Elephas maximus indicus: one gene and its partners. The protein of the gene in region 3 purifies or fractionates together with the protein of the main gene of each other region. This does not show direct contact. Links are inferred from orthologs where the notes say so. Each region holds a gene or a part of one and is shown on either strand. Other genes may lie near its edges.

Region 1 (8,004 bases), on a different chromosome or scaffold from region 3:
CCTTCTGTTAGGAAACACACAAGTAGGGCAATCAGCAAGTACTTCTGGGTACTCAAAGGACATCCTAGTGTACAGGGCTTTCTAAGCCCTTTTTATTTTTTAACAGATAATGGAGCAGCAAGAGAAAGGGAAAGCTGAGGAGAAAAGCAGATGAAAAAGGCAACCAACTGTTAATGAGAAACAAAAGTTCAGCCACTTGACGTATCAGTTCTATCCCTGCTGGCCCCTGCCAAGAGTTTCCAGTACCTATCTACTAAATGCTCTCTCTTTTATTGTCAGAGCCCCAGACAGTCAATCAGAGAAGCAAAAATACCTCCAGATTTGAAGCCCAACTTCATCTTCGCACATCCGTTCCGGACCTCATACTTCTATTACCTCCCAGAAAGTCACTAGATTTTCTTCCTCACAGTCACCTGCCTCACACCCAGCACCACCTCTTGGTCACAAGCTAGAAGTCAAGAATTTAGGTTTCTTTCCAATTCCATAAGCAACCCCTTCCTTTCCCAAAACTGCAAACCTGGACAGGCTTCTTCTTTTTGTCCTCTTCCTCCTCCTCGTCACTGGATTCTTCACTGCTGCTGCTCTCTGATGCTTTGGCTGCAGCCTTTCCAGGATGCTGAGGAAGACTGGCCTGCTTGGCAGCTATAGCTGAACAGCACAGGCACCAGTAAGAGTTAGCCATGTGGAACAGAAAGGCTACAAATCCTTTTCCTGGAACCACCACCCCAAGCCCCCTGCCCTGCCTTACCAGCCTTTTTAGCTGGAGGCACTTGGGTTTTTTCCTCCTCGCTGCTATCCTCACTGCTGTCACTGGATGAAGTCTTCTTCTTAGCCTTCTGAATTACTGGCCCATTTGCCTGTAACTTCCGCTTTGGGGCCTTAGCAGACCTGCTAAAGTCAATGATGCTAACTTCTGGGGCACCAGGACCTTCCCAAACCAAGGAACACAGCCCAAATCGCCCAGTGGGAGAATACAGACAATGTGGAACAGGGAAAGCTTACTTGAGCCAGAAACTATAGATGTCCAAGAGGGAAGAGGCGTTGGCATCCTGACGGGTCTGTAGGGGAAAAGAAAAAGAGCCAAGCAAAATTTTATACTGGTTATTTTAGGAGAGATCAAATGTTCCGTTATGCTTTAAATGCTACCTACTAATCCTGTGACTAAATTTAGTACAAACATTAAATTTTCATAAGACTGCTCCTACTTGCACACATTAAGGAAAAAAAAATTCCATTTGTATATTTCCCAAAACTTGGGGCATTCCTGTGGTTTGTGGTACTATCTATCTTCCTGCCTATTTATCCACTATCAAAACCTTACAAAACATGCATTCTCTTTACCAATGTGTCATCTAGGAATGTATCCTTACTCATAAAACAAGGGCACAAACATTTATACAAGAAAATGTTTACTGTGTTTGGTTTGTACTACCAAATTGCTGAAAACAAGACTCCAAAAGAAAATTAGTAAATAAGCTACCAGTCGAGTCAATTTCGACTCATAGCAACCCTACAGGACAGAACTGAACTTAATCTCTGAGAGTGTTTTCTTCTCTATAAAATGAAGATAATACTACACACCTCATTAAGTTGATCATAGGATAAAAAATAATGCATATAAAAGAATTAGCATCCAATCCTTAGTAAACTCTCCACGATTAATAGTTTCTGTCTCATAAGACCAAAGAATTCTAACTCTGAAAGACCCAACTCTATCCAACCCATTGCGGAAACACTTTCTGCAGTCCCCCTAACAGTCAATACAAAATTGATCCAATAAAAAAAAAAAAGGGCAGTTATATCAACTTACAAGGCAGGTTATCCCAGCTTAAGGAAGTTCTTTCTGAAGCTGATCTAATCACCTCCTTTCAAAGACTGATTCTGCCACAAAGGACAAACCTACCTTCTCAATCATGTTATTACACATGCTTAAGACTACTATTCTACCCTTCTCTGCAGGGGTTTTCCCATGCAGTCATGTCTGCTTTCATTGAGATGTGGATTCCAAATCTGTCATATTCCTGGTTATCCTTCTCCTACACATGTTTGGAGCATCTAAGTTACCATAACTATATTAACCGTTTTTACTCATTGATGCTTGCAGCACATCAGGCACTAGGATTGCCACTTTGTATACATCATCTGGCTGAAACTCACAAAAATTCTATCAAGTGGATGATGTAGAACTACAAATACTCAGAGAGGTTAGTCAAACTGCCCCGGTTTCTGGGCCTGATCTTAAACCTAACTTTGATTCCATAAGCCGAAACTCTAAGCCCACTGCTATGCCTGCTTGGTAGAGCCATGATATACTCAGCCTTTGTTTCAATATCACTAAGAGCAGAACCCTGCCTCTACTTTCGTTCATTTTCTTCTTTACTCACAAAAACCCTTGCTTTCATTTCTGAAGCAATTTCACTCGTCTTTAAGTCTTGGACAATTGCGAATTACAGGTCAATTCACGCTTTCCCTCGGCTAACGAAAAGCCTAAAAAGCGCCACCAATACCCTTGGACACCAAGCTTCCCCCAAGAACACCGCCAGCCCACGTGACCTGGACCACGCGGGCCCCACACTGCAGCCGTTGCACGGCTCACCAGGAAAATGTAACAAGACTCAGCGCTATCTAGTCAAACCTCGTGAAAAAGGAAGTGCCGAGGCTTTGGACTTTCCCCGGTCACCGCCGAGAGCTCGGCACAAAGGTCCTGCAGACACTCGACTGGCGGATTCCACATACCTCCCTACCCGGAACCCTAAGCATGTCAAGGCCCAGAGCTTTGTGGTCATCCCTCCCCAACCCGCGCCCCAAGCCCGGGACTCACAGCGCCTGTCGCCTTGGCGAACTTGTTAGCCACTTCTGACAGTTGGTTGTCGCGCAAGAAGCCGAGCACTAGGGGATACAGGTCGCTAGGAACCACGCGGCGCAAACCGGCGTCCGCCATCCTCCAGGATACACGCGTCACTACGGTTGCCCACGCAGCACGATTTAGAAACTCAGGAACACAAGGGGGAGGGCTCGCGTGACGTCATTGCGCCGCGCGGGCGCATACCGGAAGTGTGGTATTCTACATAGCAGTCCCACCTCCGCCTCCGAGGTAGGGTCAAGGAGGAAATCTAAAAATTTCTTCCGGTCCTACGCGTGTCGCCATCATGGTAAAGGCGGAGCCCGCCGGCCGTCACTTTGTAGGAGGGGAGCTCTGACGTCAGGAGTCACGCCCTCTGCCGTGGCGGGAAAACTCTGGGCTTCCCGCGCGCTGTCCTTTTGCTGGAGGTGCTTTCAGAGCAGATTCCCGCGCCTCAGCTGGTGAGTGGACTGGCCGGCTCGACCTGTGCTACTGTCTAGACTTGGTCACAAGACTTCCCAACAGCCCCCATTCTCGTTACAGGTGGATTCTCACTCTTCATCTTCACTGTCTCCAACACTCAGGGAGGCCCTTTCTCAGATACCACCCTAGCCTCCAGACTCCCATCTGTCCTTCAGGTTATCCGTGGTGATGAAAGTGTTGATCCCCACAACTTTCCTGTCATGACTTGCCCTACACCTCCCACAGATTTCTAACACATAGGCCTCTCTACCCCAATTACTCAGCCTTAGGTCAGCTCCATGAAAGAAAAAGGATAGTGCACCAAACCTCTGGATCACAGCAATCCCTCCAACCCCTAGTCCAGAAAATAAACCTTGTATCTCTTGGGTCAGAGCTCACACTGTGAACTCTCTGTGGGAGAACTGGGGAACCCCTCCCTTTGTCATGAGTAAACCCAATATCAATGCCCAGGTCTGCCAAGGAAATTCCAATTTCTGCCGTATTTCAAGTCACATTAGCAGACAACAATCCCTTCAATCTGAAGCACTACCCCTTGACTACTTCCTCTTAATGCATCCCCTCAGGAAGGATAAGAATCCACTTCCTCATGGATTTCCTCTTTCTCAAAAGAGGCACTCCCCTCCCCTAGATACAACTCTAGCAGTCCTATTCCCCAGAGAGAAGGTGGCCACATCTGTCCACATACGCGCATTCTTTAAACATCTGGCTGCCTGCAGTGTGTCAAGAATTGTGCTCAAGCTAAAATGGTGAACAAAACAGACGGTGAATGAGAAAACCTTTATTTGCAACAAGTGTGAGCTCTCTCTACATCCTTGGTGAAACAATATCCCCTTGTTAGAAATGTAGAATCTCAGGCCCAATTCCAAAAGGACAAAATCAGAATCTGCATTCTAAACAATCTCCAGATGACTCAAATGCCCTTTAAAGTGTGAGATGCACTGCCTTAGATAGCTGATTTCATAGACAACACACTTCAGGAGTCAGTCAAGTAGAATTTTGTACCTGACCAGAGAAAGGTCCTAGGAACTTAATGGCATGAGTATATCCCTGATTATGTTCAGAAAGGAAAAGTATGTTTGGCAGTAGCATCAAAGAAAGAAACACAATCACACTTGAGAGTTCTCACTAGTTCATGTTTATTAATTAGTCTGCATAGTGACTTAAGATGTTCCGAACACTGGGGGAACCCCTCAGCCCTAACCATCTTACATAGGAATGCAAGTTATCTTGTTTCAATACCTGTTATAAAAAACAAATACCCTTTAAAAAATCTGATTTTACACATTTTTTATTTCACTTTTTTCCATTTCTTTATAAAACAGTCATCTCTTCACTAGCAGCTCTCTCCCCTAGAGTGGGGGAGGGGGATGGAGGAGGTTGGGCACCTCCAAAGAAAAGGGGGGGAGGAGAGCCCAGGGTTACCTCCTGAGGTTCTTCTGGGCCTGTTTCAACAATGTGTCAAAGTCAAGAGAATCGAATTTGCTCTTTACAGGGGCAGGGTCAAAGTCTTCCCGGTTGGAGTCTATAAAGAAAGACCAAATGTCAGGGTTCAAAGGTCTCTGACCACTGCTTCCCAACCGCAGGGTCCTCAAATGGCTAGCCACCTCCCATCCCAATAATGAACGGAGTTAAAACTGCCTTGATTTTAAGTCAAAGAGACACAGGAGAACCCCATTTCTCTTCTGATCTCACCCCTCAGGTTCTTCACATGTCAGATGAAGGTTAAGTCTACCTAGCCCCACACTCAAAGGCTTGGGAAGCCTTCTAGGGAGGCGATGAAATGTGCCAAAACCTCAGGCCCTCCCTGCACTCACCAAGATCAGAATAGCTCCTCTTGCAGAACTGCCTGCGGCCCCCAAAGCAGAGATCAAAAGGCTGTTCGTCAGCCTGCCGCAGCTTGTGGCCACTCTCAATGGCTGCAAATGCCTCCTCGGCATAGCGATAAGTGACGAAGCCGTAGTTGTCACTGGTGGGGAGGGTGAGGCAAGGGCTGGGATGGCCATTTGGGCACATACCATGGAGCAGTGACAGCACCAGGGTACAAAGAGGGTCTGTGGTGCTTCTTCCCACTCCCCAAATAACCAACCCTCTGATCGTAGAAATGAAGGTGCTCTACATTGCCCAGCACACCAAAGCAAGGGGGAAGGATGAAGAAACATCAAGGTAGCTGAATGAGGCAGAAAGAACATCCTGACCCTAGGGCCCAAGCTTACCCTTGGACACGGAAGTGGATGGTGCACTCCTCAATCTCTCCAAAAACCGAGAACCTCTGTTTCAGCTCTGACCGAGTCATGCGGCCAGGTATCTTCCCAATAAAGACCACCCTTCTCTCTTCCTATGTTGGAGCAAGGAAAAACAGACCTGCCATGAGCCAGGATCACAGCTACACTCAGCTCTTTGAGCTCATGGCTCAGAGGGAAGTTCCTCCTTCTCCCATAACTTGCTCCTCTACTCACTATTGCACGCTCCTTCTGCAGCACTCTCTGCCTTTGGTAATGGTCACTCGAACGGTAGGAGCTGTACCTGACAGAAGAAGGTTTCATCAGCTCCCCAGACACAAGACAACCCAAGACTCAACTCTCAGGTGTCTGCATCCCAGGTACACTGCCTCCCTAAACATGCTCACCGTCGCCTCCTGTCACTTCTCCGGCGGGGGGATGGGGAGCGGGAACGGCTTCGAGAACTGGACGAGGAGGATGAGGACGATGAGGAAGATGAGGAGGAGGAGGAAGAGGAAGAGCATCTTCGGGAACGCCCAGAGGAACTGCAGCTGGACCTGGAGGATAAAGGGGCATGCAGGAATGCTTGGAGTAGTGCAGGTATACTCCACTTACCTCACCCTGGCCCCAGCGCTGCCTCCCTGTCTGGAGGCTCAGGACCAGAGGCAAAGCAGAGCAGATGTCTAGAAGAGCACTTTTCTTCACAGATGAACAAACTGAGGCCCTTCAAGAGAACTTTACATATATCTGGTATGTTTTGACAAAGACCATACTTATCTTCAATTGTGCAATTAAAAACTGAAAAATATTTAACAATCAGAAAGAAAAAAAAATAGATAAAGACCCAGAGAGAATAGGAGTGGGCCCTTGGTCTCACAGCCAGCTATCTGTGGTGCTAAGGCCAGACCTGAGTCTCTGGCCTACTGCTCCCTTCCCATGACTCACAGGACTGCTGTGACCATGGCATTGAGGGGAGAAGACTATGCTAGACCTGTACAGGGGCCATTTCTGAAAGCATCTACCACCATCAAAAACCAAGAATTCATTAAGTGGGAAAATTTGGGTTCATTATTAAGAGTAAAGATACTGCCAAGAAATAGATGAGGCCACAGTGATACCCAAAGAAACTGCCCCAAACTCTTTCCTCAATAGATGATTAAGGGAAGGACTATTTCCTGTTAACAACTCACTATCCCGCCTTCCCACATACCACCAGGAAAATGCCATAAATGAGGGCCAATATGATATGTGAGGGGATCAACATGGTCAAGGTAGAACCGTAAGAGTTTCCCCAAGGCAAGTCTCAAGGAAGCAGGGGACCTCAGGGATACCCTATACTCCAACACAGGATAGAAGCTTTCTTCCCAGTTTGTCTCCTTCAACAATCTAGGAAAGGAGACGACAAACGCCAAAGACAGAAACAGAAACCTTAGTGCCTAAAAGTATCAAAGTTAATGTGCAAAAGGTTTCAAAAGAAAACCACAGAGAGGAGTTCATGAAGCTCCTAAACAGAGTGGACCTAACAGGCCACCAGAGCTCACCTTCGCCACCTCTTGTGTGGGGGGGAGAGGGACCTGGACCGGGAACGGGATGAGGAAGACGACGATGAGGATGAGGAAGAAGATGCTTCGCTGGTCCCGTTGGACCCAGAGCTGATAGAATGGCTGCTGCGGCCGCGGCGGCCCTGCCAGCCCCGGCTTGGGGGGCTGGCTGACCTGCAGGCTTTTCGATAACAGCGTATTGACTGCTGCTTGGCTGAGGATGCAGGGGGAATCCTAGTGTTCATGTCATTCCGGCAGGGAGAGGCCTCAGGGGACAGCAAGGCAGATGGGGCAAGGCAATGGGCTGGGGGATCTGCCTGCTCACTGCTAGTCCTGTGATCAAGCGGCTCCTTGGAGGCAGCTGTGCGTGGGGGCAGAGGGGCAGCTGGGCCCAGGGACAACACAGGCTTGATGGTGATGTCCTGATGGCGTTTGACATTCCATCGGGAGCCCACCTCTGGAATGACTAAGGCAGGCGTCTTTTTGGGGGGGGTCCTGCTCCGGACACAATAGTCATGGTCCCCAGAGCCCACATGGACTGGACTAGGGCCATGGACCCCTTCTTGGAGGCGGGCTGCAGCTGGATGTTTGGCCTCTGTAACTCCTTCAGGCTTCAGGGTTCCCTCCTGGGCGGTGGACTTAGGAGATTTGGCTTTGGCCAGCAGTGAGACAGCAGCCAGGGGCTTCCATAACTGGTGGGGAGGGGTAGCTGGAGGGGTGAGCCCTGTGGGGGGAGGGAGGATGGAGATAGCAGGGTGAGATCCCATTCTCTATTTCCAAATACTGTGCACACAGGCTCCAGAGACCCCCACCTCATCTCAGAAAGTACACCAAGCACGGTCAACAGCCCAATTTCTCCCACTGCTGCAACTGCTCCTTCCTGTGTTCCCCGTATCAGGGACCAGCAATAGACAACCCA
Region 2 (6,986 bases), on a different chromosome or scaffold from region 3:
GATATGTTGGGGTGCTAGGAAGAGAAATGCAGAGCCCATTAAGCGTGCCTGATGAAATGGGGTTATCCGAACAAGTCTTAACCGATATGTAGGGGTGCAAGAAAGTGAAATATGCGGCCTATTAGGTGCAGTCAATGAAATGGGGTCCTTTGGACAAGTGTTACCTAACTCCCACAATCACAATTTCTGCTTAGTTTGCTCTTCTGACACAACCACCGTGAATTGTGGGCTCACGGCATGGTTTGGAGCTAAACCTTCTTCTTTTTTTTTTTTTAATCTTTATTGTGCTTTAAGTGAAAGTTTACAAATCAAGTCAGTCTCTCACACAAAAACTTATATACACCTTGCTACATACTCCCAATTGCTCCTCCCAGTGAGAGAGCCCGCTCCCTCCCTCCACTCTCTTTTCATGTCCATTCTGCCAGCTTCTAACCCCCTCCACCCTCTCATCTCCCCTCCAGACAGGTGATGCCAACACAGTCTCAAGTGTTCACCTGATCCAAGAAGCTCACTCCTCATCAGCAAACCTCTCCATCCCATTGTCCAGTCCAATCCCTGTCTGAAGAGTTGGCTTTGGGAATGGTTCCCTGTCCTGGGCCAACAAAAGGTCTGGGGGCCATGACCACCGGGGTCCTTCTAGTCTCAGTCAGATCATTAAGTCTGGTCTTTTTACGAGAATTTGGCGTCTGCATCCCACTGCTCTCCTGCTCCCTCAGGGGTTCCATTGTGTTCCCTGTCAGGACAGTCATTGGTTGTAGCCGGGAACCAGCTAAACCTTCAGACTTTTGATCCACAAGATTGTGAACCTGCCCAGAGAGCAGGTGACATGTGCCACCCTATAGTGTCTCCATTCGGCAGGCAGTGCTGGATGAATGTTTGGTGAATAAATGCATAAATGACAAAATCTCGTTACTTAAGAAAGTACCTGTTGCGCATCAGGGAAAAAAAAATTTAAAGAGTTGCCTAATTTTGAAAAGAATACACCAAAAATCAGTCACAGAAAGGGAGTGGTCTCCTTTCCAAGCAGTCGCCCTGGAAGGCCACACACCGCTTCCTACGGCGCTGCTAAAGCACAGAGCACGCGGGAACTTCTCTTTCAGAGTGATCTTCAGACCTGCAGATCGCTCTCCTGGCTCTCTCTGGTAGCAGCAAATTTTCCTCCTCAAGGTGGGTTAGTTTCAGAAATAGTCAGAAGTCATTCAGAGCCTGGTCTGGAGAATGAGGTGAGTTACCAAGCCAGGTAAGACAAGTTTTGGTCAAACATGTAGTATGACTATTAAATATGACTGATTTTCTCACATGGCTTACATATTCATTACCGTAACAGGAGTGCTAAAGACGTACTGGCAAAGAAACATCAATGAAACAGAAACATAACCTTTTGGGACAACTGTTTTTAACAACGCAGTGTCTACCTGGATACTTAAGTTCTGGTTTGTCTAGATAAAATTCAGGTTCATAACTTTACAGACTTGTAACACCAAAACGAAAGACTGACTCCTCTATAGTTGACAATGATAGCATCACCCAAATTTACTAAATTTGACCACCAGAAGAAAAAATAAGGAAACACCTTGATATCATTTGTAGCTGTGATAAGTCAAAACCCCTTCCAACACGAGCACAGCCAGAACTTACCTGTATGCTCTCTGGAATGACTCCACAAAGCTTTCTTCAGCTGTCTGAGCATTTCCCCTAACACTGGAAAGTAGTTTCAGCTTTTGGGACCTGGTTGGACTCTACTCAAACGCTCAGACTGTAATGTAATCAGGCAGAGACTCCCCTCCCAGGGCGTGAAGTTGGAATCTCCCTCAGTCCAGGCTCACCTGGGAATCCCGACCACTGCCTCAGGAAGGGACCATTCCACAGGCAGTATGACAGAGGTGAGTCCTAAAGGAGGAATGAGGAACCATTGATACACCCCAAACTGAAGTTCAGATGTCATAGTCCCTTCTTCCATTTCCCTCAAGTGGAGCTGAGGACTGGTTTAGTCTTGCAAATGAGTTTGTTAAAAAAAAGTTCACTTAACATAATCAACCATTCTGCCCAGCAAACTCAGCTGTCACAAAGTAACCAGGAAAACTTAAGGTTTTCGCAGGAGCAAGACTAGTTAAGTCTTAAAGTCTTAGGTTCTTCCAGCATCATAGTTGCAGTTAGTTTATTCTAGGGGCCCAGAATCCTTTGGGGTCCTAAATCAAAGAGACAAGTACATTACTATTTCTAAGACGCTGGAGAGCATCTCGGGCACAGCAAATACGTCCAACCTGTGCACACTTTCGAGGCGAGGGAGCAAGTTCCAGGTGGCTCCAAAGAGCTCAAAGATCCCCCAAAGAGCCATCAACACTTGGGGCCGGCCTAGTCCGGAGGACAAATCCGCATGCCTCTCACCCTCCCTTTGTGGACGGCAAACATGTGCCACGCGAATGCCCGGATGAGAACTGACAGCTTCAGGAAAATAAACTCCACCCGGGGCGCGAGGGCAGCTCGCGAGGAGTCCAGACTCTGAGGGGTTCCAGGGCTCCCGCGGGCCGGGACTCGCCGCGGACGGAACGCGGAATCGTGCCTGTCTCAGTATCCCCCTTCCCGGGGGCCCAGAAGCCACGCTTCGGTCAGCTGCCCCCACGGCCGGAGCGCGCAGCCTGGGGCGCTCCACGGAAGCGACGGCGGCGAAGGGTTCCCTGGCCTCGGCTCCCGCCACCGCCGCCACGCTCCTGCCTGCCGCCGCCGCCGCCGAGGCGACCTCCTCCTCCCCCCGCCGGCGCCGCCAGCCCGGCCTCCTAGCCGCCCGCTCGGGCCTCGCTCACCTCAGCGCGAGCGCCGAGAGCGGGCCACTGCTCCGCTGGAGTTGGGACGGCGCGGAGTAGACGTCCCTCTGCCCTTCCGCTCCTCAGACGCTCCGGCTTCAAGCGCGACGCGGGCGGAACAAACGGGCTCCACTACCCGCGGGGGCCGGCCATTGTACGACGTCATCAGGCCGCGACGGTCGTCCTGGGGCAGGCGGGCTTCCCTCGCTTGTTCTTCCCTGCTCCCTCTTCCTTCCGGCCTCCGCGCGGCCCCGCCCCCCGGCCCGCGCCCACCCGATCACCGTCGCGGCGCAGGCGCCGTCAAGACGCCCCGCCCCCCGGGGCGGGGCCCTGAGCCCGCGCTCTTGACGGGGCCGCCTGAGAACGCCTGCGTATAGGGTTTAACGCTCCCGCGAGCGCTGTCATGTGACGCGCCCTGTCAGGTGACGAGTGCGCCGCGGCTTTCCAGGAGGAAGCAGGCGATCCCCGGTTCGCCGCCTCGCAGTTTTGCTGGCTGACGCCTTCGGAAGAAAACATCTTATTCTAAATATCAAAGCGGAAACACGTTAATCTATCTTCCTCGGATGAAATATTTTCTCGCCTTATCAAATGTAACCAGCTTTAACATTTCACCTTTTGCCGGTCAGAAGACGTTGAATGGAGACTCAGGGCATTTTTTACTGATGACGAACTTTTCACAGACTCTCAGGGTTGACCATCATCACTGCCATCTGCAGAACAGCCAGGCGGGCAAGATGTCCATTTCAAAGATGAGTAACCTGAGGCTTGGAGCAGCCCCGCCCGCCCAGAAGCTAATTGAGAACTGAGCAGACAGTGACTGCGCACCGGTCACCATCCTGCATCCAGTTACCGTCCTGCAGGCGCCGCCGCGATGCCCCAGCCCAGGGAGGGAGCGCCAGGCAGGCAGCGCAGCTTCGGGGGCGTGTATGTCGGAGTTGCAGTTCCCCCATGTACTGCAGTGTGGCCTTGAGACAGTCACTCAGCGTATCTAGCCTCCGTTTTCTTATCGGTAAATTGGGGATATTAAGAATGTGGTTGTGGATGAGTGCGGATAAGGGGAAGGCAGGATGAATGAGCCCCCCAGTCCCAACTCACACCTTCTTCAAAAGTGGTGCCTTCTCAGAAAGATTAGTCCAAAGGACTAAGGGACTGCAACTACCATGGCCTCCACCAGACGGAGTCCGGTACAACTAGATGGTGCTGGGCTACCACCGCTGACTGCTCTGACAGGGACCACAACAGAGGGTCCTTGACAGAGATGGAGAAAAATGTAGAACAAAATTCTAACTCACAAAAAAGACCAGACTTACTGGCTTGACAGAGACTGGAGAAACCTGAGTGTGTGGCCCCCTGACACCGTTTTAGCTCAGTAATGAAGCTGCTCCTGAGGTTCACTCTTAAGGCGAAGATTAGACAGACCCCTAAGATAAAACAAGACTAAAGGGGCATACTAGCCCAGGGGCAAGGACTAGAAGGCCAGAGGAGACAGGAAAGCTGGTAATAGGGAACCCAAGGTTGAGAGGGGAGAGTGTTGATGTGTGGTGGGGCTGTTAACCAGTATCATAAAACAATGTGTACGAAGTGTTTAATGAGAAACTAGTTTGTCCTGTAAACTTTCATTTAAAGTACAATTTTTAAAAAATGGTGCCTTCTTAACTATTATTTGAGGTCTTCTGTTGACTCAATGCAGGTGTTTAAAAAAAAAAAAAAAAGGCAAAATGGAAGCAGGAGAGTGAGACCTGAGAGGAGGCTGGCAGAAAAGGGAGGGGGCAGAGGTAGTGCTTCTTTAAAGAGCTCTTTCCCTGGCTCCTCCTGAGCAAACCCGTGGCTCCACCTGGGAAACCCTTAATTAGTAGTGCTCAAACATGGCAGTGAAGTCTTTTAAAAAATGAACATTTCAGTTGCCTCTTGAAGGATGAAGAGGGTGACTGGTTGGAGTAGGAAGGGGGAGCATTCCAGACAGAGGGAATGGCTTTGGCAGGGCTCAACAAGGGTCTTCAGAAGAGTTGGAGTTGAATGGGGAGGGTGATCAGGGAGAGAGACTGGACAAAGTTGGAAATCTGCTCTGCTTGCTCTGGGAGCGACAATCTGGGGTAACCACGGCCCTGTGCTTAGAAGGGGCTATGCTTGGTTTAGTGCCTGCTGCCACCATCTTAACATTCTTAGTTTGTGAACAAGGTGCCCTCCATTTCAGTTTTACACCAGATCCTGTAAACTATGTAACCGGTCCTGGGGTTGACTAAGGGTTTTGAGGTGTGGAGCAGAGCAGGCCTCTCCTCACCCCATCTTCCTCCTCCAGTGGAAGGACTCTTCATTGGGGTTCTTGTGAGCCCACCGCCATTCGTTCCACACATGTATATGTCTGGCCATAGTGACGTTAAGTGTACTCATAGATGTTTGCCTCATGTTCCCTGAATGAATGTGTGAGGGAATAAATGAAGACATTAAATACAGAGTTACAGTATGACAACGCAGCAATTCCACTCCTGGGTATCTACCTGCGAGAATTGAAAACACACGTCCATGCAAAGACTTGTACGTGAATGTTCGTAGCAGCACCATTCACAGTAGCCATAAAGTGGAAACAACCTGGGCGTCCATCAGTAGATGGATGGATACACACAACGTGGTATATCCACACGATAGGATATTATTCGGCTGTAAAAAGGAATGATGCCTTGATGTATGCTATGACATGGATGAGGGCATTTTGAGGGGGAGGAGGAATGATGGGATCTAGAAAGCAGGCTTTTAAATATTTAGTAAAAATTTACTTGAACTTAAAAATATTTGGAGGATGGGTGTGGGAGGGGTGGTGTGGGAGACAGCAGAATCTTCCTTTTCCGGGGGAAAAGGTCGATACACGTTTTCAAAACTCAGAATGTCAAGAAATAACCGTATGAATATTTTATTAGAAATGAGGAAAAGGCCAGAGGACAGAACTCAAAGAGTTGAAACAGTTGCCCCTTGGGAATGAGAAATGGGGGTGAAAAGGGACGTTTAAAAGATTTTATTTTTATAGTGTTTTAAGTGAGTGTTTACAAATCAAGTCAGACTCTCATACAAAAACTTATGTACACTTTGCTGTATACTCGTAATTGATCTCCCCCTAATGAGACAGCATGAAAAGGGACTTTTTAAAAAAATCAGCCCCATTGAGGTATACTCCACTTTTGGTAAAACACACATCGATGAGTTTTTTGCAAAGGTCTATACCTGTGCAGTCACCACTGCAATCGAGAGAGGACATTTCCTCTACATAGAAAGTCCACTGGTACCCCTTGCTGTCATTCCCCAACCCTGTATTCTGCCATGACAGTTTTGAGTTGTCTTTCCCAGTGTCACATGAATGCATGTAGTGTGTATCTGGCTTCTGCCACTCAGCACGATGTTTTTGAGATTCATCCACGATGTGTGTACCAGTAGTTGGACAAACTGTTGTGTTTTGTTGTTGCTGTTTTAAGCCTTAGATTTTTAGACAATATATTTTAAAAAGGAAGAAAAAGAAATTGATGGCAGCTACCATTCCTGAGAGCCTGCTGAGAGTTAGGCACTTTCAGTCACCAACCACCTCCTTTAGGATCCAGGCTCTTAGTCACGGAGGCCAGGATTTGACTCTTGGCTCCAACGCTGACTAAAAATAAATGTGTAACTTTGATTAACTGTAGTTGTTTCCTCGGGCTGCTGTTACAAAGAACTATAAAGTGGGGGGCATAAAACAACAGAAAATCTTCTCTCATAGTTCTAAAGGTTAGAAGTCAGAATTTAGGGTGTGGGCAGGGCCTCGCTCCCTCTGGAGGCTCTAGGGGAGGATCCTTCCTGTCTCTTCCAGCTCCTGGTGGCCCCAGGCATTCCTTGGCTTGTGGCCCCGTCACTTCAATCTCTGTTCTGTCCTCACATGGTGTTCTTCCCTATGTGTCTCTCTTCCTTCTGTGTCTCTTTTCCTCTTTTTATAAGGACACCACTTATATTGGATTATGGGCGAACCCTACTCTAGTATGACCTATTATTACCTTAACCAGTTCCATCTGCAAAGACCCCATTTCCAAATCAGTGCTGCCCCGATTCCTGTCATGCTGGTGCTCCCCAATGTTTTGGCGTTTGCATGTATTTGCCCAGTTTTTATAGTTGTCTTTAGCAGAATGGTGTGGGGTTGGTTTGATACAAAAGACTCAGTTTGAA
Region 3 (7,049 bases):
GGCAGTGGCCATGGCACTTCCTATGTGGCACCCATCCTCACTGGGGACCTGGCCCCAATTGACACCTACCAGCTGGACGTTGCTGGTTATGACCTCACTGAATACTTGGCTCAGCTGCTGCTGGCAGGTGGCCACTCACTGCCCAAGGCAGGGCTGGTCAACCAGATTAAGGAGGCCAGCTGCTATGTGGCTATGGATATGGCAGCAGAGATGGCCAGCATCCAGGCCCAGGCTTGTGTGGACTTTGTTCTCCCAGACAAGCAGGTCATCACACTGGGCTCTGAGCGCTTTCGCTGCCCTGAGGCCCTTTTCCAGCCCAACCTGCTAGGCCTCAACCAGCCGGGCCTCCCACAGCTGGCCCTCCTAAGCATCAGCCAACTGGAAGCCAAGCAACAAGAGCAGCTGCTGGCCAATGTGGTGCTGGATGGTGGCAGCACCCTGTTGAAAGGTTTTCCTGAGCGCCTGAGACAGGAGCTGGGCCCCCGTGCCACCGTACTAGGGTCTCCCCACCGTGCTGTCGCTGCCTGGCTTGGGGGCTCTATCATGGCATCCCGGGACTCCTTCCAGAGCCTGTGGCTCAGCCGTCGTGAGTACGAGGAGGAGGGCCCGTGGGCCATCTATAAGTACCATCTGTGAGCGCATAAAAGTTATGGTTCTGCTTACTTTGAACACTGTAGCATGTTTTGGGCACAGGGTGGTGAAGGGAAGAATAGGGGTTTGGGCGTGGGGTTGGAGGTAGAGACCCTGGCACTTCCAAGGCGTATCCTGCCTCTGCACACAAACTCCATGGGCCCTGGCAATCCCACCCTTTTCAGGAAGCCTCCAAGCCCCTTGGTTGACATTGGCTCTGGTCTAGCCTGACCTTTACTGCACCCCAAGGGCAACCACAGAGAGTGGCTGGTGTGGGTTTTGCCCTGTTGCCCTGGTGACAAGTGCAATTACTCTTGATTGCCAGTTGGTTGCCATGGCAATTTCAAACATAATGTAATAACCCACACAGCCTAAAGTGAGTCACAATGGGGATGGGGTGGGGGGAGAAGGATGAAGGTGGGGGAGCCCACTCCCCAAGCTCTAGAGGAAAGATGCTTGCTACCCCACTTCTTGGGCCCTCTCCTGGGGGTGGAGGCCAGTGACATGAACAACCACCAAGCAGTTCCAAAGAAAACTGGGGACCTGGAGTGTTTGTTGCCCCAGGAAAAGTCCATGTCAGAGTCTGGGCTTCTTGGGGAGCTGGCCTGGTGATGCAGGTGCTATCTGGGTCTTGGTTGGAGTTCCATTTTGGGTTTGCAGGGGCTCCTGCTGGCCAGCCAGAGCGTGAGGGTATGGGAGTGCCAGCCTTTGGTGTCCCAGGGCAGGAGGGGAGCAGATAAGTTCTGGATCATGGGTGGGAGGTACAACCTGAGCTGAAGGATGAGGCTCTGCTCTGCCCAGAGTGGATATGGAGGCTCATACCCTGTCCTGGCACCCTGACTGTCTCTCTCTGGTCACAAGCCAGACTTGTAAACATTGGGCCCCCTTTTTCTCCTCAGTCCCCTAACCAAGGCAGCCTCTGTTTGCAGGGTGTCAGGCAGAGGCCTCCTCAAGAGGGTCCTCATAGAGGCTACTGGGAAATGCCAATGCTAACTGCCCTGCTCTTGTCCCAAATTCTGCCTGGGGCTGCGGGGACTCCTACCACCCCTCTGGCCAGTAGGGTGGCTAGAAGCAATGGCTCCTGGCTCCATCTGGCTCTGAATGTGGGTAGGAATGAAGCTCTGCATCAGCCCGGTCCATTGCCTGGAAGAGCTTAGAGAATAGTGTTCAGCTGTTGCTGCTACCCCTTCGCCCTACCAGGAGGGCAGCTAGAGGTTGCAGCCAAAACACTGGAGTTGGCCCTTCCCTTCATGTGCCTCCCTGCCTGGAGGCTGATGGGACAAGCCATGCCCTAGCCACAACCCTAGGTTCTCGTCTACATACTTGTGAGGGGCTGCTCTGGGTGGGGGTACTGGGAGCAGCCAACCATGTAGGGTCATCACAGCCCCTGGCTGCCTCTGGGCATGGTCCAGCCTCTTCCATGCCCTGCTGTCCCACCCTAATGGTCCTCCCCCAGATTCAGCCTCCAGAATCCTGTCAGGAAGGGAGGCAGGGAGGACCAGTGGCTCCAGGGCCAGCTACAGCATCCGCATACACGTGCCAGCAAGCATGCCTGGGTGCACACAGAATGCAGACACACGTGCCCCTGAGCACCACTGCACACACTGTGCTGTTGCCATCTCCCTCAGCACAAGAGCACACACACACACGTGTACTCATACACCCTGCCATGTGCTCTCACCCACACGCACACGGTGTGTGCACAGGACCAAGAAGAGGTGGAGTACTGCCAGCAGCAGCAGGGCTCCAGGGAGTCAACCTTTTCCCTGCATCTAAATCTCCCATTCCAGCTTTTCCTTGGCCCCTAGGCTTCCCACTCCTGACTGCCTGGATAGCCATGACCTCGGCAAAGGTAGGAAACATGTGTGACATGCTTCAGTTGCACCACACAACTCAGAGACCTATTGTTTCACAGACAGTCAGCAGATCACAGGAAGGACTGAGTGCCAGGCCATTCATTCATTCTGCAGATGTTAACTGACCAAACTGAGATGAGAAGCCAGACTTGCCCTGCAGATCCCCAGCACTCCAGGAGATGCTGACCCAGTGGTAAAGCTGGTGCTGGGACTGAGACCCAAAGAGCCCAGAGGCCTGAAGGAGGTAACCCAAAGCCAGGGAAAGATTTGAAGGGCTCTTTGACACCCCTTCTGGAGGAAGAATTTGAGGGGCCTTGTTTGAGGCATTCCTTAGGCTAGCCTTCCAGCCGCAACCACAGCCCTGGCCCTGGCTTCCTCACCTGGGCAATCCCTCCTGCCATCATCTATGGGGAACCGTGCAAGGGAAATCAAGTCTCACTGGGTAAGCTAGGGAAAACCACTCGACATGGGTGAGGGTTTGGGGATAACTCTGTCCTACTAGGGCCAGGTCAGAAGAATCACTGGGAGGGGTGAAATGGGATGGGGTTGAGCCTAGTGCCAGGCACTGTGAGGCCTAGGTCTGGCCTTCAGGATGATCCTCAGGGCTTGTGAGAGTGGCGGTTCAGGCACTGGGTTTATCTGCCTTCCCACAAGGTACAAAGAAATGGCCAAAGGCTTCCTTGAAAGTTTCTTGCTTGCAGTTCTGAGCTTCCTCCAGACAGGGGTCAAGCCTGGCAGGGCACCTCCGTGCCACTGTTCTCCCAGGTCTCTTATGCTGCTCTTCCTCACGAAATGTTTGAGGTTGATTAGACTTGAAAGAAAGCAGAATCCACACCATATTGTAGGTGACTTTTACAGCTTGGGAAGTTCTGTGCCACACAGGAGGGTGCAGACTGAACCAGCCACCCTGGTTGGGACTTGGGAATGGAGAAGACTTTGGCCTTGCAGGATTGGGAGGCAGGATGGGATAGGAAGCTCTGCCACCACAGTTGGGGCTCTAACTATGCTGCACACTGAAAACCCACTCACACTCCCCATGTCTTCCTAGTCAGGCAATGCCAGTCTGTGAAGCAGCCTGCTCTAGCGACTGTCCACGTGGTTTTGCCCTTTCGGTCAGGTTTGGGGAGCTGGACAGTGCCCCATCCCCTGGGGACTACTGCCTGTCAAGGGACTTTTGTGCAGCTCCAGGCCTCAGGCTCCCTCCCAAACCCAACCCCTGCCTCTTACAATGGGCATAGGAAGTTTCCCTTCGGCCCTTGTTGCCCGGTCAGGAGTCTGAGGGCCTAAAGGAGCATTTGAGAGCCCGGCCGGGGCTAGGGAGGCCAGCGCTCACGGGCTTCGCTGCCATCCCGCGTCTGCTGGCCAGCGCGTGAGATCCCGGCCTCAGGCTCCTCCTGGGCCCGGGGCGGGGCTGGCTAAGGGAGGCCCCGCCCCCAGCCCGCCCCCGGCCCGGGGTGCGAATCCGATGCCGGCTAGCGGCTGGCGATGCTAGAGGTTCGCGAGCCGAAGCGGCTGCAGCTGGCGCCGCGTCTGCCCCGCGTGCCCGGAGCGGATTCTGCCCGCCGCCCCCGGAGCGCCTGGCGCCCAGCTGAGCCCGCGGTCGCTTCCTCCCCGTGACGGACCGGCGCTGCAGGTGGGGAGCGGGCCGGGCCGGGGGGGCTTCCTGAACGCACGTTGGGGGGCTCTGGGGGACTGAGTCCCGCCGGCTCGAGGTTCGGGGCGCAGAATGCGCGGGGGCGCGGCGAGGACGCGGGGTCTTGGCGGGGCTAGAACGCGCGGGCTCTGCAGATCCGGGGGCGGCGTGCAGGGTTGATCTAAAGTTCCCTGTCTCCTTGGACGGCTTGGGGGTCCCTGGGGAAGATGGGGCCTGTCCGACTTAAGTACAGGCTAATACCCCGCGCCACCCTAGTCCGTCTCGCTGGGCTTCGAATTGTGAAAACATTAACCCTCGAAGATTCGTGGTGCCTCCCGGGGGTGGGGGCCGAGGGTAGAGCCGTCCCTCCCAGCTCTCAGAGCTGCCTCCAGCCCCTCCCAGCTGCCCCCGGCCCCCTCCCTCCCGCTAAGCAGTCACTAATTTCCATGACAACGGAGAGTTCTTTATTGGAGACAACCCGTAGGGGGCTGGGCGGGGCTGCCGCGGGGTGGGGAAGGAGGCCCCAACTCTCTGGGGACCACGGCCCCCCAGCCTACTTCCAGCTGCCAAGCCTTGACGTGGAGGCCAGCCGGGGGTCTGGGGCACAGTCCCACGTGCGGGGTGGGGGTGGCACATGTTCCCGCTGGGATGCGGGGCTTGGTGCTCACACGTGTGCCTCCCGCATGTGTGTGCTGTGCCAGCGGAGGCGAGGAGCGCTGGGGAAGGGGGTCAAGGTGGCACCACGGTGAGGGGCAGGGCCCCTGCGGTGGAGGGTCGGGGGGTGAGACAATGTGAGCCGAGCCTGTAGTGTCTCGAAGAGACCCCAGGCTCTTGAGTCCCAGCCCCCCACAGCTCTGCCAAACTGCCTTTGTCGCACCCCCCCCCCCCACTCCCACGGGGCAGAGCCTGTTCCACCAGGTTCCCTCCTAGGGAGCAGGGCCTCTGTCTTTCATCAAAAGCTCAGACCCCGTAGCATTCCAGCCCCTGTCCTGACTCCCCTCTCCCAGCCTTAGGCTTTGAGCACCCCCCAGGCCCACCAGCAGAGACTTGACACCCCCAGTTGATTTTTGCCAGCTCCAGCTGCCTGCTGGGCCCTCATTACCTCAACTGGGAAATTTGTGATTCCTCCTCCCTCAGTGCCAGCCTAATCCCAGGGTGGGGCCAGGGTCTCTTCTCCCTTTTTTTTTTTTTTTTTTACTGCATTTGGGATGGGCACCCAGGTGCCCTACGGTTGGCTGTTGACATGTCTGCCACTTTCCCTCTTCTCTGGCCCCATGTCCTGGCCACCATTCACAGGCAGGCAGGTAGTCCTCCATCCTGGGAGGAAGCCACTGAGTCCTTGATCTCTGCCCTGGGAAGCTGAGGCATAGAGGGAGGGCTGTGCAGTTGTTATCCAGTTGAGTTGCTTGGGGTGCCACTCCTAGCCCTCTCCTGACAGGATCCACTACAGGGGGACTAGGCTGTTACAGGAGGGGCCCTAGGGACTCAAGGCCTGGAGAAGACAGCAGATGGGGGGGGGGCCTGGCTGGGTGGGGGGCAGAGCTGGATCAGCTGAGAGGAGGGCCATAAAAGGAGGCAGCCAGTTCTCCAAACCTCATTTCCATCCCTCCCCCTACCCCTTGTGCCTTCAACATGTTAGATCTGCCTTACTCTGATGACAGGGAGAGGGACTGAGGGCTGCCCTGGCTGAGGGGCTGCAACAGTTTACTTCTTCCCCAGGGCCCTGTCTCCCACACCAAGCTCAGGGGATATAGGAGGGTTTGGTGCCAAAGATCCAGGCACCAGGGACAGCTTCTGGCACAGGTGTTCAGAGCACACGGCTATGGAAGCCTTAGGGCTCTGCTGGGCACCCATAGGCCCCTCAGAGCCCCCTACTCACCTCCCTCCCCCTTCTGCCTGTGCCCCTTTTTCTCTGTGGCCTCCTTGCTCCCCCTCAATCACAGGTTCTGCCTTTGTCTCCCTGTGTCCCTGCCTCTCTCTCTCTTTTCTAAAGTCTCTCTGTACTCCCACATCCCCTTCCTTGATGGGGACCCATGTCACAGAACCTTCCCAGTGGGGAAGGAACCAGGCCAAAGTCTCAGAGTTATTGGAGAGGAGGCCTGACCAACACCTCACTCCTCCCCTGCCCCATGTTTTAAAACTTCCATCACCATAGCAACCCTTTACTCCAGTGCCTTCCTCTGCATTTCCCCTCCTCCCATCCACAGGGAAGCAAGGGTTCAAAGAGTCCCTCTAAGGGCAGCAGGTTGAGGGCTGAGCTTTCTAGTGGCAACACTGGACTGAATACCCACACCCAAGACTGAAGAGACCCCCCCCAATACCCTCTACTTAGAGGGGGGAGAGTAAGCCCCAGGAACCATTGTCATCCATGGTTTAGCTGGAGCCTCATGCCCCAGGGTACCTCCCTCCCCAATTCCTGAAGCTGCTGGATGGTGGGCTAGAACCTTGGCTCTACCTCGTGACACAGATTCTTCAGGTAAGGCCTCCACCTCCCCTGGCCCTGTGAGTGAAGCCTCAGCTGTAGACACGCAGGGCTTGGGCCTGGGTTTGTCCATTGCAGCAGGAAACCTTGCCCCAGGCCCAGAGAGAGACAGAGAACAGGGAAGGGGAGGGGGTGCCAGCAGGCTGGTATTCACAGCTGCCACTAAATCGGGAGGTGTTGCCCATAGTCGTTGGGAGGCAGCTGGAGGCCTCCTGGGTGCCTCTTGGACTCCCTAGATTTACAGCAAGCTCTGGAGTCCCCCATGGGGCAGGGGCCAGGGCAAAGGGAAACTCCTGTAAATGACTAGGAAAGGTGGGGTCTGAGCTAGGCTGACCCCAGTAGAGGAAGGGGCCGGACCCTGATGTGGGGTATCTGGGCCTCGAGCTGGCTTCTGCCCCACTCAGGCTTTCCCTGGGCCAGACTCACCTAAGGCTGCAGTAGGGCCCCA
Region 4 (7,983 bases), on a different chromosome or scaffold from region 3:
CTGGGTGTTCGTTAGGCCTGATATACAGCTGTCATCCTGGAATGTCTCCACATCGTCATCCTGGGAATTCTCTTTGCTTCTTTAGTTGGTTAGATCCCTGCTTTCTGGATCTCAAGTCTCTCTGTTTCTCGTTTTACTCCTTCGTTCTGCTGTAAAACATCCCCTAATAGCTTCCAAAGAAGGGGTAAGTGGGAAGTAAATTTTCTTGAAAGCCTGCTGGTTGAAAACATCTTTTTTCTCTTTCTCAGTTGATTAATGGTTTAACTGGGTATAGATTTCTGTGTTGGAAACCATCCTCTTTTAGAATCTCCAGGGCATTACCCCCTAGTTTTCTCTGCTTTGGTGTTTTGGAGATGTCCAAAGCCATTCCAATTCCTTATCCTTCACATGGAAGGTATTTTTTTTTCGAGAAACATTTAGGAGCTTCTCTTTGTCCCATTGTCCTGAAATTTTACAGTGCTGTGTCTGGCACCAAGTTACTTTTAATCTGTGTACTGGGCCCTTCAGTACCAGAAAATGTTCACATGTTATTTCTTTCATATGCTAGTGCTATTTTTTTTTCTTTCCTTTCTGGAAATCCTACTATTCAGATGTTGGATTGATGCTCAAGCTCAAGTTTTCTTATCTGTTCCTTCCTATTTTCTATTTCATCCATTCAACAAATCTTTATTTAGCACCCACTAAGGAAACCCTGGTGGTGTAGTGGTTAAGAGCTACGGCTGCTAACCAAAAGGTCGGCAGTTCGAATCTGCCCAGCGCTCCTTGGGAACCCCATGGGGCAGTTCTACTCTGTCCTATAGGGTTGTTATGAGTCGGAATCGACTCAACAGTGATGGATATGTGCCAGTTGGGAGCCCATAGGAGCTCATAGGGGTGGTATGAGTTGGAATCAACTTGACAGCAATGGATTTGGCTTTGGTATAGATGTGCCAGTCGTTGTTCTGGGTGCTGGGAATATAGAAGTGAATAAAACTGAAAAAAAGTCTCTGCCCTTGTGGAGGTTATATTCTAGTGGAGGAATATAAACAGTAAGCAGAAGTAAGAAAATTATATGTTAGAAAGTGATAAGTACTATAAAGAAAAACAAAACAGGGGAAGAGGCTAGGGAGTTCAAAATATATAAAAAAAAATTTTTTTATATAAAAAAAATAAATATATAGGGCTCTGTAATTTCAAATAGGGTGATCAAAAAAGATCTTACTGAGAAAGTAACATTTTGAGTAAAGACCAGGAAATGAGGGCGAAAGCCCTGTGAATATCTGAGAAAGAATGATCCAGGCAGAAAGAACAGCATATCCATAAGCCCCAAAATAGGGCAGGCCGCAGCAGGAGCAGGTCTGGTGTGCCCAGAGAGAAGGGAAGCAGGGAGCATAGTAGAAGATGAGGCTTGAGAGGGAGGTGGTGGTGGTCAGTAGACTTTATACTGTAAATGACAGAAAAAGTCACTCGAAAGTTGGAGCAGAGGACTGACGTGATCTGACTGACTTTTTAATAGGATCACCATAGTTGCTGTACAGAATGCAAGGGACAAAGGTGAAGCAAGGGTAACACTTAGTAGCTACTGCAGTAATTCAGGAGAAAGTGAAGAGTGAAGGTGGCTTGGACCAGGGTATCTTTTTACTCTGTTTCCTGAGAGATTTCCTCAACTTTATTTTCTAACCTTTCTATGAAATTTCTCATTTCTGCTTAAGAATTTTGAATCTCCAAAAATCTTTCTTTATTTCCAAATATTTTTTCTTTTTTGGCATCCTATCCTTGTTCCCTACTACGATCTCTATCTCTGTGGATATTGATTATAACTCTCTTGATGTTTCTTTCTGTTCCTTTTATCATCTCTGTTGTTGGTAGGTGCCACTGAATCAATTTCGACTCTCAGTGACGCTATGTGACAGGGTAGAACTGCCCTATAGGATTTTCTGGGCTGTAATTTTTATGAGAGCAGATTGCCAGGTCTTTCTCCCTGGATGGATTCCATCTGCCAACCTTTTGGTTGGCAGCCAAGTGCTTAACCATGGAGCAACCAGGGCTCCTTCATTATCTCTGGCGCCTCTGAATTCCTTTTTGCTGTTTTCGTGTGTGTTTTGAGGGAGGGTATCTATGTCTTTCCTGTTACAGATTTCCCCTCAAATGTCTGGTAATCCTTGGCTATCCATTTATACTTAAGAAACGCATTGCCATCAAGTCGATTCCGACTCACAGAGACTCTACAGGACAGAGTAGAACTGCCCCACAGGGTTTCCAAGGAGCAGCTGGTGGATTTGAACTCCTGAACTTTTGATTTAAAGCTGAGTTTTTAACCACTGTGTCACCAGGGCTCCTTAATACTTAAGAGTGAGGCATTAAAAAGCTGAGTCAAAGCTCTGTGTAGATGGGGCTTGCTGTATTATGGGCTTCTTTTTATGGTATTTGGGCAGGAACTGACATTTTTGTTGACAAATCTCCTCCTTCCCGTTGTTGGTGCTTGTACATTTTTTTTTTTTTCTCCCTAAACAAGTCAGTTTCCCCAGGGAGAGATTCCCTTGGTCTCTCGCTGGAATGCTGGCTTTTACTGTATCCTCCTGTTTTCAGCTTGGCACCCCCTACCTCAGCTGTGCTAGACATGTCAAAACCCAGTCTTCTTGGTTCCAGTTTTCTAGAGGGTAACCTCCAGCTTGCTCCCCTAGAGAAGGAATGGAATTTAGGGTCTAATTGCTCTTAAACTGCCTTGTAACCAACCAATCCTCCTGTTTTCAGCCTCATCCACACTCTCACCTTAAGAGTTACCTAGCAATGACTCCAATTCCCAAGATTTTCTGGTGTTCTTCACGAAAATCAGCTTGTTTCCTGGCTTCCCCTACTCCAGGACTGTCTCTACTCTCTCAAAGCCATTTCCACTTATCTATGCTCTCTACCTTCTAAAATTTTGTTGACATCTCTTGTCTGTTGTTGTCCCCCTCCTGCTCTCTTTGTCCATGTGAGTTTATACCCTTCTCATCCCTTTGTCATTTTAGTGGGGTTTGGAGAGAGAGAAGTAAATTTATGATGTGTACCTACGTGATTCAATCTGCTACTTAACCCTCAAGTCACTTTACGAAGTATGAATTCAATGTGTTCTGCCTCCGCTTAGATGGGGATGTCTTTTCACTTCTTAGAGCTGTTTCATAATTGGCCTGGGGGTCAGGTAGGACAGACGGTAACAAAGGAATAGAAGATCAAAGGAATAGAAGATAACCACACTTCCTCCAAACAATTACATTCCATTTTATTTTCTCAGGGCCAGGGTAAGGGCTGCTTTTCCATTGTGTGATTTCTGTGCTGTTGCTATTTTCAAAAACAGTCCCAGGTTCTGCTCAGTGCGACTCTTCTCAGCCAAACGAGAGACCAGAGGTGGGAGAGTAGAAAGGCGCCTCATTTGGTTGTATAAAGAAAGGAGACAGTTAGGGCTGCTGCCAAGACTGCTCAGGGAGGGCAAGGGGGAAGGTTACTTTTAAGGGGTTTACAAGTAGGAAGTTCATGCAAGTTACATCAGCAACTCTTAATCATACTACACAGGCATCATGTGTTCAGAAAATGGTTAAACTCTACCCAGAGGCGGGGAAGTTACTATGTATGAGGTCCAAAAGGTTATCCTGAATATCAGCATGGCGCCTAAATTGGTTTCTGCCAATTTTCTCCAGTTTGGGGGAAGCAGTTAAGGAGAGGGGAACCAGGATTTAAATGTAAAGCTGGTGGGAGGAGGCTTGTCAAGCAAAGGAACCAGGATTCTAATGTAAAGCTATGGGTGTGCCAAGCAAGCTGCTTGAAAAGGTGGAATTTTCTGCAGCCTGGGGACCACTGTCTTACTCATTGGACTGCTACCCTAAAGGATGGCAGTTCGAATGCACCCAGAGGTGCCTCAGAAGTAAGGCCTGGCAATCTGCTTCTGAAAGGTCACAGCCTTGAAAAACCCAATGGAGCAGTTCTATTCTGCACATGGAATTGACTCAAAGGTACTACTACCACCAACAGCTCTTTTCAAAAGCAGTGAAGTCCTGCCACACCTGTGTGTTTTATGTACTTTAGCTAAGGGTACTAGAGGGCTGGGTGGGATCCTCAGGAAGGTCATAGGATTGATAAGTCTGATTTATGACCCACACAGTCAGTGCAGAGCTGGAGGGTTTAAAAAAAAAAAAAAAACCAACCCAAGCCAGCTGCCCTTGAGTCATTCAACTCACAGGAATCCTACAGGACAGAGTAGAACCCCATAGGGTTTCCAAGGAGTGGCTGGTGGATTCAAACTGCTGACCTTTTGGTTAGCAGCCAAGCTCTTAAGCTTTTCACCACCAGGTCTGGAGGATACAGATTACCAAACTCAATTTCTTTATTTTAGAAAATGGAAACAGGCCTAGAGAGCTTTAGCTGAATTGGATCAACTGTTCAGACCTCTGAGAAATAATACTTCTTTCAAACGATTGCTTGTAAATGCCAAACTCTTTCCATTCATAAGGCTTTTTGGTCTAATATTCCTTCTGCCTCAAGACCTTACAAGGCTGCAGGCCCCCTTCCGCTTCTCAGGTCAAAGGCCATTTCAGAGGTCATCCTTCTCATCATGGCACCCAGTTTTTTTTTAAATATACTTATTAATAGCTGAAGTTGTGTAACTGTCAGTTATCTGACTTCCCCCATGGAACGTAAGCCCTTTGAGAGAAGGCATCTTTTCTGGTTAGTTCACCGTTTGTCCTCAGGGCAAACCAGGATTTGAAACAAAGTAGAACGGCTCTAAAGCCCGTGCTTTCCGCCGCACTATATTACGTTGTTATTTGATTAATTAAATAGACGATGGACCTCTGCATACACAGGGAGCCAGGAGGGTAAGAAAAGGGCTGTAAACCGGCAAGTGAGCAGCTGGAAAAACAGCCCGACTCATCCCCACCGTGTTTCCTCTGACCTTTCCCTCCGGAAGCGCTAAGCGCCCCAGGGCGCGAGTCCGCACGCGTAGCCGCTGGGGTTGCTCCGGGCAGCGCGCTGAGCGGTGACGCGAGGGAAGGTTCCGCCTCCGAGGCTGGAAGGCGCCTGCGCCGGCGGGGTTTCCGTCAGGACGGGCGTTCTGGCTCACTCCCTCCTTCCCTCCCTCCCTCGCCTGCGCGCGTCCGGTGGGCGTCGGAGGAGGCGGGGAACGGGGGAGGGAAAGTAGAGGGGGCGGGTGTCGCGGTAGGGAAGGAGTGAACCGGAGAGCGTCGTTCTGAGAGGAGTGAAGGCGGCAAGATGGCGGACCGCTTCTCCCGCTTCAACGAGGACCGAGACTTTCAGGTAAACACCGGCGCAGCCGAGGACCCGGGGAAGGCGCCGGCCGAGTCTGGAAGCTTCTTCATCCTTGGCTCCCAGATCTGTTTCCTTCCAGGCTCTGCTTCGGCTTCCGAACCCGCTAGCCCTCCTCCCACCTCCGTTTTCTCAAGGGGCCTCCCAGCTTGAGGCGAGGCCGCATCTTCTCCCACCCGCATTCTCTGACTTTAACTCAGGCCGCTGGATCTGCGGCTTCGACCTGTTTGGGCTTCGGCTGTCGGAACCCCAGCCTGGGGGCAGTGGGGGACGTGCGCCCTGCGGGGCGGCCGGGCCTGTGGAGGTGCAGGGCTGACTCCCAGGGGGGAAAGAGGGTTGCGCTGGGAGGATGGGGCGAGAGTTGCTGAGGCCAGGGCTTCGGAACCCCTGGATTTCGCTCATTCGAATCTTCTTGGGGCCCTTCTCCCGTCTCCCCTCACTATAATAATCCTTTTCATTGCCCATTTTTCCATTTCTTCGCCTGCAAAAAGGGTGCCTTAGTTATCAGACGCGTTCTTGGTTAATCAGACATTGAGATTTCACTGGCCATAAATGTTGCTGTTGTTAGGCCGTTCATTGGTCTTGGACAGCAGTTTAAGTTATACGACTGTGGTCGATGTAAGCTCAGTCAGTCCCAAATCCTACCTAGAAAGATTTGGGGGGACGTAATGACAAATGGGCTTTCTGAGCATGTGAAAACTAGTGCCAAAAACTCGATTTTTTTTTCTCCAGTTGCAGATGTTGGTGTGGAAAAATGGCAAGCATTATTGGGGAAAAACTAAGGCCAGTTTAGAATAACTTGTCCTCTGACTGTTTAAAATACCTTACTGTCGAGTATTGTTAGTGTGGAAATCTCCGAAACTAAGAAAGATTTAGTAGAGGTTGACTGTTTCTAGGGTAAAATACATTCTGAGTGTCAAAGAAACCACTGCATTACTACCGCATACCCTGGCAACAGCAATTTGGGTCAGGGGATGAACATCAGAACTCAAGTTTTTTATCCCGCTGCGGATCTTCCTTAAAGCAACGTGAGAACTACTCTAAATGTGGTTCAGAAGGCCGTTTGAAGGATTTGAATTCCCTGAGGTGAATGGATTAGTAAACAGGTAAAGCTGTTTAGCAGTTTTTAAACGGACTCTGTTAACAGTCTAGTACATAAAAGCGTTGCGAGAAGTTTTGCAGCGGTAAGAAGGGGGGGCGGCTGTTGAAAAGCCCTGTGATCATGCGCCTGCTGTACAGCTGCAGTACACAATACAGGATCTCAGGGTGTTTTAAGGATATGATACAGGCCCAGGGAAGTTGGAAACAGTTTATATGGGCCATTTGATTTCTGAGGACGATTACTTCTTTACAAACACCATAAAACATGAATAGGCTGCAAAGTATGTGGACTTCATTGGTAATTTTTAAAGAGACAAATTGATAACACCCTGAAATACTTTTTAGACGTGAGAATTTCAAGGTGACCTGATAAAGCTGAAAATAGATAAGTATGGACAATTTTTAGAGGAAAAATGGCTCTCAACCACAGAATTACAACAGACTTAAAAAAAAGAACCCAGAGTTTGCAGGGGCTTGAAAGAAGGTTTTGAAAACCATGGGTAGCAGAGTGTGAATGCTGTCACTTGAAAAAATTGAGGCTAGCCTCTAGTTTTTCAATACCTAGTTTCTAAGAAGGATGATCCTCTGCTGTTTTAGTTGGGTTTATGTAAAATCTCCTTTTGGTTGCTTGGTAGTCCTTTGAAGATACTACATGTATTTTAAACTTATTTCCTGCTTTTATGTTGAAATAACCAACTCCTGTATTGGGTCAGGAGCCCTGGTGGCGCAGTGGTTAAGCGCTTCGGCTGCTAACCAAAAGGTCAGCAGTTTGAATCCACCAGCTGCTCCTTGGAAACCCTCTGGGGCAGTTCTACTGTGTCCTATAGGGTCACTATGAGTTGGAAAGGACTCGACAGCAAGGGGTTTGGTTTTTTCGGTTTGTATTGGGTCAACCAGGGAAATGTTTTTTTTTTTTTATTTATTTAGATGTCCTAGCGTTTTGGTTTAATAGGCTATTGGGAGTGGAAATCTTCTAGACAGTTAGGAGATGTTAAAATTTTTGTAAACTATTGTGCTAACATTTCTCAAGAGAATTCATTTAAAAATACATAAAGTAGCATTTTCTCTGTTTTAATAAAAGGAAAACAGATTGACTTTCATGAAGAATGTCCTTTGATTTAAAGTTCTTGGGGAGGAGAATGTAATGTAATAGAACACCCTTGTGTATGGCGTATCTGAAACATTTTTCAAGTTCAGGTTATTTGAAATTAAATCTAGGTTATAGCCTACCCCCCCAGAAAAGAAAAACTGTGGCCTCCTTTTCAGGTTTTTAAGTGATAAATGAGGCGAAGTCACTGAATATTGTGGCTACTTAGTGATAATAGGCTTGAAAAATACTTAGTAGGTTTTCAAACACAGTATATAGGTCCTGTTCTTTAAACATCTTCTGATAGCACTGGAAATTTCCTTGTGCCATCTTCTCTGGAAAGTTCTAAATGACTTACTGTTTTATTTGCCTTTATTTTGGCAAGATAATTTAGAATTGTAAAATTTCACTCTTTGGCAATTTACCATCAAGTGTAAAATGTTGGTGAGTTTGTTGTCTCTTGTATGGAGTCAGAGAGATGGGCTTATGGATTTTGTGGCACTAATTTCAAAGGTGTT

Evidence for each region.
Region 1: the proteins of CAMKV (region 3) and NOLC1 purify together in Homo sapiens (affinity purification with mass spectrometry; 3 studies listed by BioGRID and IntAct, counting the BioPlex papers as one, with this or other methods). This does not show direct contact. The link is inferred for Elephas maximus indicus from reciprocal best matches to the Homo sapiens genes CAMKV and NOLC1.
Region 2: the proteins of CAMKV (region 3) and ZC3H18 purify together in Homo sapiens (affinity purification with mass spectrometry; 3 studies listed by BioGRID and IntAct, counting the BioPlex papers as one, with this or other methods). This does not show direct contact. The link is inferred for Elephas maximus indicus from reciprocal best matches to the Homo sapiens genes CAMKV and ZC3H18.
Region 4: the proteins of CAMKV (region 3) and GPATCH8 purify together in Homo sapiens (affinity purification with mass spectrometry; 3 studies listed by BioGRID and IntAct, counting the BioPlex papers as one, with this or other methods). This does not show direct contact. The link is inferred for Elephas maximus indicus from reciprocal best matches to the Homo sapiens genes CAMKV and GPATCH8.

The regions. Positions count from the first base shown.
Region 1 is NC_064834.1:53,751,081-53,759,084, reverse strand, and holds the start of NOLC1 (nucleolar and coiled-body phosphoprotein 1), read right to left. Parts: upstream 3,010-8,004; 5' UTR 2,942-3,009; coding exon 2,822-2,941; intron 1,059-2,821; coding exon 1,003-1,058; intron 892-1,002; coding exon 749-891; intron 649-748; coding exon 518-648; intron 5-517; coding exon 1-4. Other genes in the region: PPRC1 (peroxisome proliferator-activated receptor gamma coactivator-related protein 1), read right to left, coding at 4,744-4,847, 5,140-5,291, 5,539-5,660, 5,782-5,848, 5,952-6,101, 7,086-7,809. UniProt on the Homo sapiens protein: Nucleolar protein that acts as a regulator of RNA polymerase I by connecting RNA polymerase I with enzymes responsible for ribosomal processing and modification.
Region 2 is NC_064839.1:53,895,718-53,902,703, reverse strand, and holds the start of ZC3H18 (zinc finger CCCH domain-containing protein 18), read right to left. Parts: upstream 3,005-6,986; 5' UTR 2,805-3,004; intron 1,891-2,804; 5' UTR 1,827-1,890; intron 1,820-1,826; exon of another isoform or gene 1,639-1,819; intron 1-1,638.
Region 3 is NC_064838.1:54,290,316-54,297,364, reverse strand, and holds the start of CAMKV (caM kinase-like vesicle-associated protein), read left to right. Parts: upstream 1-4,038; 5' UTR 4,039-4,119; intron 4,120-7,049. Other genes in the region: uncharacterized protein LOC126063634, read left to right, coding at 1-636. UniProt on the Homo sapiens protein: Does not appear to have detectable kinase activity.
Region 4 is NC_064837.1:51,005,684-51,013,666, reverse strand, and holds the start of GPATCH8 (G patch domain-containing protein 8), read left to right. Parts: upstream 1-4,965; 5' UTR 4,966-5,223; coding exon 5,224-5,268; intron 5,269-7,983.